2 linked regions of the Ovis aries genome follow. The protein of the gene in region 1 purifies or fractionates together with the protein of each later gene. This does not show direct contact. Links are inferred from orthologs where the notes say so. Each region holds a gene or a part of one and is shown on either strand. Other genes may lie near its edges.

Region 1 (3,814 bases):
TCTTACTTATCCCATGCTTGCAGTGCTTCTTACTTATCCCGTGTCACCTGCATTGATTCCCTGGGTGTCTCATGTGGGCAAGATCTCATGGGTGGTTCCCGCCTCAGGGTGGGAGTGGAGTCTGGCTGGTTCCACTTCTCAGCCTGGGGGCTCTGGGGATGGAAGATGAAAGTGGCTCTTGGCCTCTTTTGTGGGAGATAATACAGGTAAAGTGCTTAGCACAGTATGTGTCCATAACAGGGCCTCAAACATTTATTATTATTTTAATAAATAACTATGTAAGTTATTTATTATCGCTATTATCATTATTATTGATTTTGAAGATTTTAAAAAACATTTTGTCTAAGGGCCATGAGCAACTCCTGTGCTCACTTGCTCCTAACCTGAAGCCTTCATTGGGCCACCCCAAGCCCTGGGTGACCGGGTCGTGGGGAGGGACATTGCCCATTCTGGTTGCCCTGAGCAGGGCTGAGATAACTGACAAGACCCAGCCTGGGGCCTGGGGTTGCTTAGGGTCTCTGGGGCTTTGGGAACAGGGTAGGGTCACCCTGCAATGTATTTGTCTCCAAAGAGCAGCTGGGTTATAAGCAGATTATGGACAATTATCCCCAATTATGAAAGGGGAGACCCTCTAGGCCCATGAAGGAGTCGTGTCTTCCCTTGGGTTACGTAGCAAAGATGGGTTTAAACCCATGACCCTGGTGTTCAGGCTCTACTTCCTTCCTTCCTTGGGGGATGGGCAAAAGACAGGTCAAGAGGGTGGGGCCCTTCCCTGAGTGGGGCCTGTGTGTGCAGCTTCTGGGAGAGGAGGGCAGAGGGGCCTGAGCAAGTGAGGGGCCAATCCTCGAGGTCTTAACACCCCCTCTTCTCCTGTTCCAGGGTTACCACAGGTCAAATCACTTCATAGCCACTCAAGGTACCTGGCACCTCTTCCCATGTTTCCCTCACCCCCCTGCCCCAGTGTGCTGAGTGCCCTCTGCCTGCCTTCCTGCCTTCCCGGCTGATCTGCCTGCCTCCCTGTCTACCTTCTATCTGTCTGTCTGTCTGGATCTTCTGGAATCTGGACATCCATATCTGTTCTCTCTTTGTGTTTGTATCTCCCGATGTCTGCTGTCTGAGTGTAGCTCCTGGTCCACCTGTCTGTCTGCATGCAAAAGGGTCAGCCAGCCTCGGTCCTCATGGGTGTGGACTGTGTCTCTTGGTCTGGGGGCTGTCTGGGTCCCTTGGGCTGTATCTTATCCTCTCCACTGTCTGTCTGTCCATCCCTCCTGGAGGCTTGTGCCATGGCCCTCCAGCTCTTCCTCCTGGGTTCTGCTCAGGATGACCGGGGTCTCCAGGCAGGCTCTCCCTCACAATGACCACCCCAAGGACCCAACAGGCATGAGTCGGCAGTTGATGGGGGTGTGTGGGGGTGAGCATGAAGCCCCCACTGGGGCTCAGGATCCTCCTGGCCTGCATCGGTGGTGTGGGGCAGCGGTGTGCTGGGCCTGGGTGGAGACCTGGCCTTAGAGACAAGCCCTCTCTGCTCCCCAGGGCCAAAGCCTGAAATGGTCTACGACTTCTGGCGCATGGTATGGCAGGAACACTGTTCCAGCATCGTCATGATCACCAAACTGGTGGAGGTGGGCAGGGTAAGTGGGGCCCTGGGGGAGGGGGCGTGGCAGGCCGGGGGCAGTGAGCCCACTGAGCCTGCCCCTTGGGGCCTCCAGGTGAAATGCTCGCGATACTGGCCGGAGGACTCCGACATGTACGGGGACATCAAGATCACGCTGGTGAAGACGGAGACTCTAGCCGAGTATGTTGTGCGCAGCTTTGCCCTGGAGCGGGTGAGTCTCCTGTGGTCACCAGGCCCCTCCCAGGGTGCCTGAGAAGGTGGGGCAGGGCACACCCCCAGCCCCTCCCAGCCCAGGAGTGGAGGGTGGGGGTGGCACTCTGCATCCCGAGCAGGGCAGCCACAGCGCCTCACAGGGGGCACTGTGAAAAGATGGAAAGGTGGCCGTCTTGACTGGTGACTGCAAGAGGAAGTCAAGATGATGAGGATGGTGTGAATGTAGAGAACGATGAGGACCTTGAGGATAACTGCCAGGTGCCGATCCTGCTCTGTGCCAGGCGCTGTGCTCAGCCCATTACACATATTGTTTCGGCCCTCCTTCAGTCTGTGGGTTAGGCCTTTGCTATTAGACCCATTTTACAGATAGGGAAAGTGAGGCTCAAGAATGGTTACCTCACTCATGAAAGGCCCCAGGTGAGGGATGGCACAGTCCTATTTGACTGTCTATAAAATCCTCAGAGGAAAGATAGTTTTCTCCCTTTGAACTAAGACTGGGAGCATCAAAATGATCTCTGAGGGCAGCTGTGTAGCAGGTGGCGGAAATGGGTGACTTACAGTACAGATGTGGCACCAGGCAGATCCCAGCCCAACCCCTGCCTAATGTGTGTCTTGGCTTCGGGCAGGCGGTTTCTCGTCTTTGAGGCTTAGGTTTCTTGCTTGTACAATGAGTCATTAATACCCACCTCGTGAGTCTCATTGGGGTGAACTGAGTTCCTGCGGTGAGATGCTCACTCCCGTGCCTGGCACACTGCAGGTGTCTGGTAGACGCTGGCAGGGGCTCTGACTGTCACTTCTTTTGTCTCCCCAGAGAGGCTACTCTGCCCGCCACGAGGTCCGCCAGTTCCACTTCACGGCCTGGCCGGAGCACGGTGTCCCCTACCACGCCACGGGGCTGCTGGCCTTCATCCGGCGTGTGAAGGCCTCCACGCCCCCTGACGCTGGGCCTGTGGTCATCCACTGCAGGTGGGGTGCTGGGGAGCCCAGGGAGAAGGGGGTGGGGATGGGGTTGTTTGAGGTTCCTGAAGGAGACTGGGCCCGAGTCCATCCTGCTCAGAGGCAGAGGACGGGGAGAATGACCTCCTGACGCCTTTCGCCCTTTGAGCTTCGGCTCTGGGATTGGCACCATCGTGTGCACACTAAGTGTAGCTTATTATTATGGGCTATTGTAATAATAAGTAAGCTTTAGGAATTTCCCCAATTTCACTGTGAAGGACTCAGCACTACTCAGATCAAGAAACAGAGCATTAACAGAACCCAGAAGTCCCTGGAGCTCCCTTGTGGCCTGTACCCCACCTCTTCCCTTCCAGAGTGATCACTCTCCTGACTTCTAAGCCTGAGACCCTTGTGGCCTGTACCCCACCTCCTCCCTTCCAGAGTGATCGCTCTCCTGACTTCTAAGCCTGAGACCCTTGTGGCCTGTACCCCACCTCCTCCCTTCCAGAGTGATCGCTCTCCTGACTTCTAAGCCTGAGAGTCATTATGCATGCTTTTGAACTTTGTATCAGTGGAATCACACATCAGGTGCTCCTTGGAGTCTGACTTTCTCTCAGCCTTATGCTTGTAAGGTTCATCCATATTGTACCCGACTCCACAGCGTGAACAAACCGCCGTGTGCTTATCCATTCTGCTGTGGGGAGGCATTTGGGTGGTTTCCAGCTTTGAGCTGTTATCAACAGTGCTGCTAAGGACATTCTCTTACGTGTCTTTTGGCTGACACACACACTCGCATTTCTGGGAGGTAAGTATGTAGGAGTGGAATTGCTCTGTGAATGTTCAGCCTTACTGGATACTGTGGGCAGTTTTCCAAAGTGGTTTCACGAATTCCAGTCCCTATCAGTGGCACATGGGATACCCACTGGCTGTGTGTCCTGGCTAACCCGTCGCTCTCACCATTTTCAAGCTTGAGATCTTGGTGTCATTTCTGTCCTCCCCTCTCCTCTCAACTCTGCTCTACCTGGTGCTAAATGGAGGGTTCCAGAGATG
Region 2 (3,814 bases), on another chromosome or scaffold:
CTTCACTTGAATCTTCAGTCTGAGCAAAGCATTCCTTCATGGACAAGTTCTGTGTCCTGGATACTTGTTCTTTGTCTGGGTCTTATGTTGCTCTGTACTTCAGGAAACACAGTCAGCGCCCTGATGTGGGAACTGGTTCTATTCTCCATCCAAGTTCAACTGGATTGATCTTTTAATGACTCTGACTTTTTTTAGTTTTTCTATCAAGGAAATGGAGGTAATAGTTATTTGCCCTAACCTTTCTCACAGGGATGTTGTGGAAATAAATGACAGGTATTTGAAAGCACTTATAATCCTTCAGAGAAATATTTCCTATAAAGCCAGCCAGTGTGCTTGCTAAGTTGCCTCAGTCATGTCTGACCCTTTGCAACCCCATGGACTGTACCCTGCCAAGCTCCTCTGTGCATGGAATTCTCCGGGCAAGAATACTGGAGTGGGTTGCCATTTCCTTCTCCAGGGGATCTTCCCAACCCAGGGATCAAACCTGTATCTCTTGATTCTCCTGCATTGGCAGGCAGGTTCTTTACCACTATAAAGCCGGTTCAGTTCAGTTGCTCAGTCGTGTCCGACTCTTTGCGACCCCATGGACTGCAGCATGCCAGGCTTCCCTGTCCATCACCAACTCCTGGAGCTTACTCAAACTCATGTTCATTGAGTTGGTGATGCCCTCTAACCATCTCATCCTGTGTTGTCCCCTTCTTCTCCCACCTTCAGTCTTTCCCAGCATCAGGGTCTTTTCCAGTGAGTTAGTTCTTCACATCAGTGGGCCAAAGTATTGGAGTTTCAGCTTCAGCATTAGTCTTTCCAATGAATATTCAGGACTGATTTTCCTTTAGGATGGACTGGTTGGATCTCCTTGTAGTCCAAGGGACTCTCAAAAGTTTTCTCCGACACCACAGTTCAAAAGCGTCAGTTGTTCGGCGCTCAGCTTTCTTTATAGTCCAACTCTCACATCCGTACATGACTGCTGGAAAAATCATAGCTTTGACTAGACAGACCTTTGTTGGCAAAGTAATGTCTCTGCTTTTGAATATGCTGTCTAGCTTGATGATAACTTTTCGTCCAAGGAGCAAGGGTCTTTTAATTTTATGGCTGCAGTCACCATCTGCAATGATTTTGAAGCCCCCCAAAATAAAGTCTGTCACTTTTTCCATTGTTTCCCCATCTATTTGCCATGAAGTGATGGGACCAGATGCCATGATCTTAGTTTTCTGAATGTTGAGCTTTAAGCCAACTTTGTCCACTCTCCTCTTTCACTTTCATCAAGAGGCTCTTTAGTTCTTTGCTTTCTGCCATAAGTGTGATGTCATCTGCACATCTGAGGTTATTGATATTTCTCCCAGCAATCTTGATTCCAGCTTGTGCTTCATCCAGTCCAGCATTTCTCATGATGAACTCTGCATATAAGTTAAATAAGCAGGGTGACAATATACAGCCTTGACATACTCCTTTTCCTATTTGGAACCAGTCTGTTGTTCCATGTCCAGTTCTAACTGTTGCTTCTTGACCTTCCTACAGGTTTCTCAAGAGGCAGGTCAGGTGGTCTGGTATTCCCATCTCTTTAAGAATTTTCCATACTTTGTTGTGATCCACATAGTCAAAGGCTTTGGCATAGTCAGTAAAGCAGAAATAGACGTTTTTCTGAAACACTGTCGCTTTTTCAGTGATCCAGCAGATGTTGGCAATTTGATCTCTGGTTCGTCTGCCTTTTCTAAAACCGGCTTCAACATCTGAAAGTTCACAGTTCCCATACTGGTGAAGCCTGGCTTGGAGAATTTTGAGTATTACTTTGCTAGCCTGACTATAAAGCCAGGGCAGTATCAATTCACACTTGCCAGGTATGCAAGGACTTGATAAAATGTGTACCTCCAAAAGCTGTCCTCAAGTGTCTGAGAAAAGACTTTTTCCCTTGGTTTGTTTATTTATACACTCCAGTTTCTCAGTTATGTTTCTGCTAATTTAAGAAGAGAGCTTCACATTTATTTCAATTATGGGACAGTCTGACCAAACAAAATATTTTTTCTGATAAAAATCAGGAGGATTTGGCAGGAGGAAGAGCAGTGACACATTTTCCTATTGATGTTGTATTTACTTTCTTTTGCCCCTTTTTTCTGAGTAATGAAGACCATATAGAAATCTCTGACACTTTCAGAGAAAACTGATTTAAGTTCACCAATTTTAGAAGAGGAGTTCTCTGTAGAAAAGACATATCTTTTTTTTTTTTCTTCAGAGTTTTCTGTATTAATAATATAAAATATTCACAGACTTCCTCTGGTGCACAAAGAAATATTACTTTTAATACATTAAAAATGTTTTATTGTACCTGAGTTAATGGACACTATTTTAGCTAACATGAATGTCCATTAGTAATGGCATTCTTTTTTATATTAGGTAACAAAAAACAAACCTAACTCATCCTCAATTTGATCTTATCCTTTTCTTTTCAAATAATTATTGAAGAGAAAATTTACATAAAAGAAAATTGCATAAGTATTCAGTCACTTGAAGTATGAGGATTTTCCCTTTTTATTCTGAGAGAACAGGAGTTAGATTACTTTTGAGGGCAGAGTCTACTGAGATGTGGTCATTTACAGGCTTTACTTTTAGGTTACTTACAGTATGCTTCCCGTGATGAAATTTTGCTTATGTTATCTCTATTTTATAGGTGAGATTACACAGTGAGAAGAGTTAAGTGACTCCATTGCAGCCATACTTTTCAGTCAGGACTCTATTTCTAGACTCCAGGATTTTGCTTATGTTGTAACCCTATAGACATGGTAATAAAGAAATTCTGTCACTACTTTCGAACTAGAGGAGTGTCATTTCCAGTGATGTGCTTGACCTAGGTGTCTCGAAATAGTGAAGTGTGGCAGAACCATGAAGCAGCCCCTGGAAGAACAGAGGAAGCAAAACCTTACCCTTCCACCCAGAAGGAGGCAGAATTTCAGGCTCCCGCGGAACTGACCCGGCAAGAAGCGGGACCCGGGGAGCCGCAGGAGCGACAGGTGGAGGAGGAGCACAGGCGGGCGCTGGAGGAGGAGGCCATGGAGCAGGTCGGGCGGCCCGAGCGCCTCGAGGAGGAGCACGACCCGTCACCCGAGGAGCAGGATCGGGAGTGGGCGGAGCAGCGCGAACGAGAGGAAGCCAGACGCGCGGCAGGGGAGGCTCGCGCTGAGGTATGCGGTTACCCAGCCAGTCGGCGGGTCGGGGTTGTGCCTTTGTCGCTACATAGTGTCGACCCATGAACAAGGAGAGTTTGAACCTTGCAGGACCACTTCTGTAAGGATTTTTCTAGTAAACACTAGAAAATCTGTGTTTGGTCGAATCTGAACATGGGAAACTGAGACAGAAGGGCCCCCACAGGGAGGCTGTGGAGGATCCCTACATACAGAGGGCTGACTAAAAGTTATATGAAGATTCTCACTGTGCTGAGGGTCCATGCCCCTAATGCCTACATTGTTCAAGGGTCAACTGTATCAAGGAAAAAGCCCATGTGTAACAATCTCTAAAATAAAATGAGGATGATTTCACTAAATCTTCTATGTACTTATTCTGTTGTGATATTAGTAGCATAGCTACCTTACCCCAGAAAGGTGATTGGGGAAAAGAGAAGGTGCTGTAGGTGTTTATTTGTCAAGAATGCACTGTAGGGCGGGGATAGGAGGGAGGCTCAACAGGGAGGGGATATGTGTATATTAAAACTGACTCAAGTTGTTGTACAGCAGAAATCAAAACATTGTAAAGCAATTATCCTCCAATTAAAAATTTTTTAAAAAGGAAGAGAAAAGAGTGCACAGTAAGGGAGACTTGGGCA

What was found.
Region 2: the proteins of PTPRU (region 1) and GOLIM4 purify together in Homo sapiens (affinity purification with mass spectrometry; 3 studies listed by BioGRID and IntAct, counting the BioPlex papers as one, with this or other methods). This does not show direct contact. The link is inferred for Ovis aries from reciprocal best matches to the Homo sapiens genes PTPRU and GOLIM4.

What each region holds. Positions count from the first base shown.
Region 1 is NC_056055.1:237,986,963-237,990,776, reverse strand, and holds part of PTPRU (receptor-type tyrosine-protein phosphatase U), read left to right. Parts: intron 1-879; coding exon 880-916; intron 917-1,533; coding exon 1,534-1,826; intron 1,827-2,639; coding exon 2,640-2,794; intron 2,795-3,814.
Region 2 is NC_056054.1:220,061,790-220,065,603, forward strand, and holds part of GOLIM4 (Golgi integral membrane protein 4), read left to right. Parts: intron 1-2,846; coding exon 2,847-3,176; intron 3,177-3,814. UniProt on the Homo sapiens protein: Plays a role in endosome to Golgi protein trafficking; mediates protein transport along the late endosome-bypass pathway from the early endosome to the Golgi.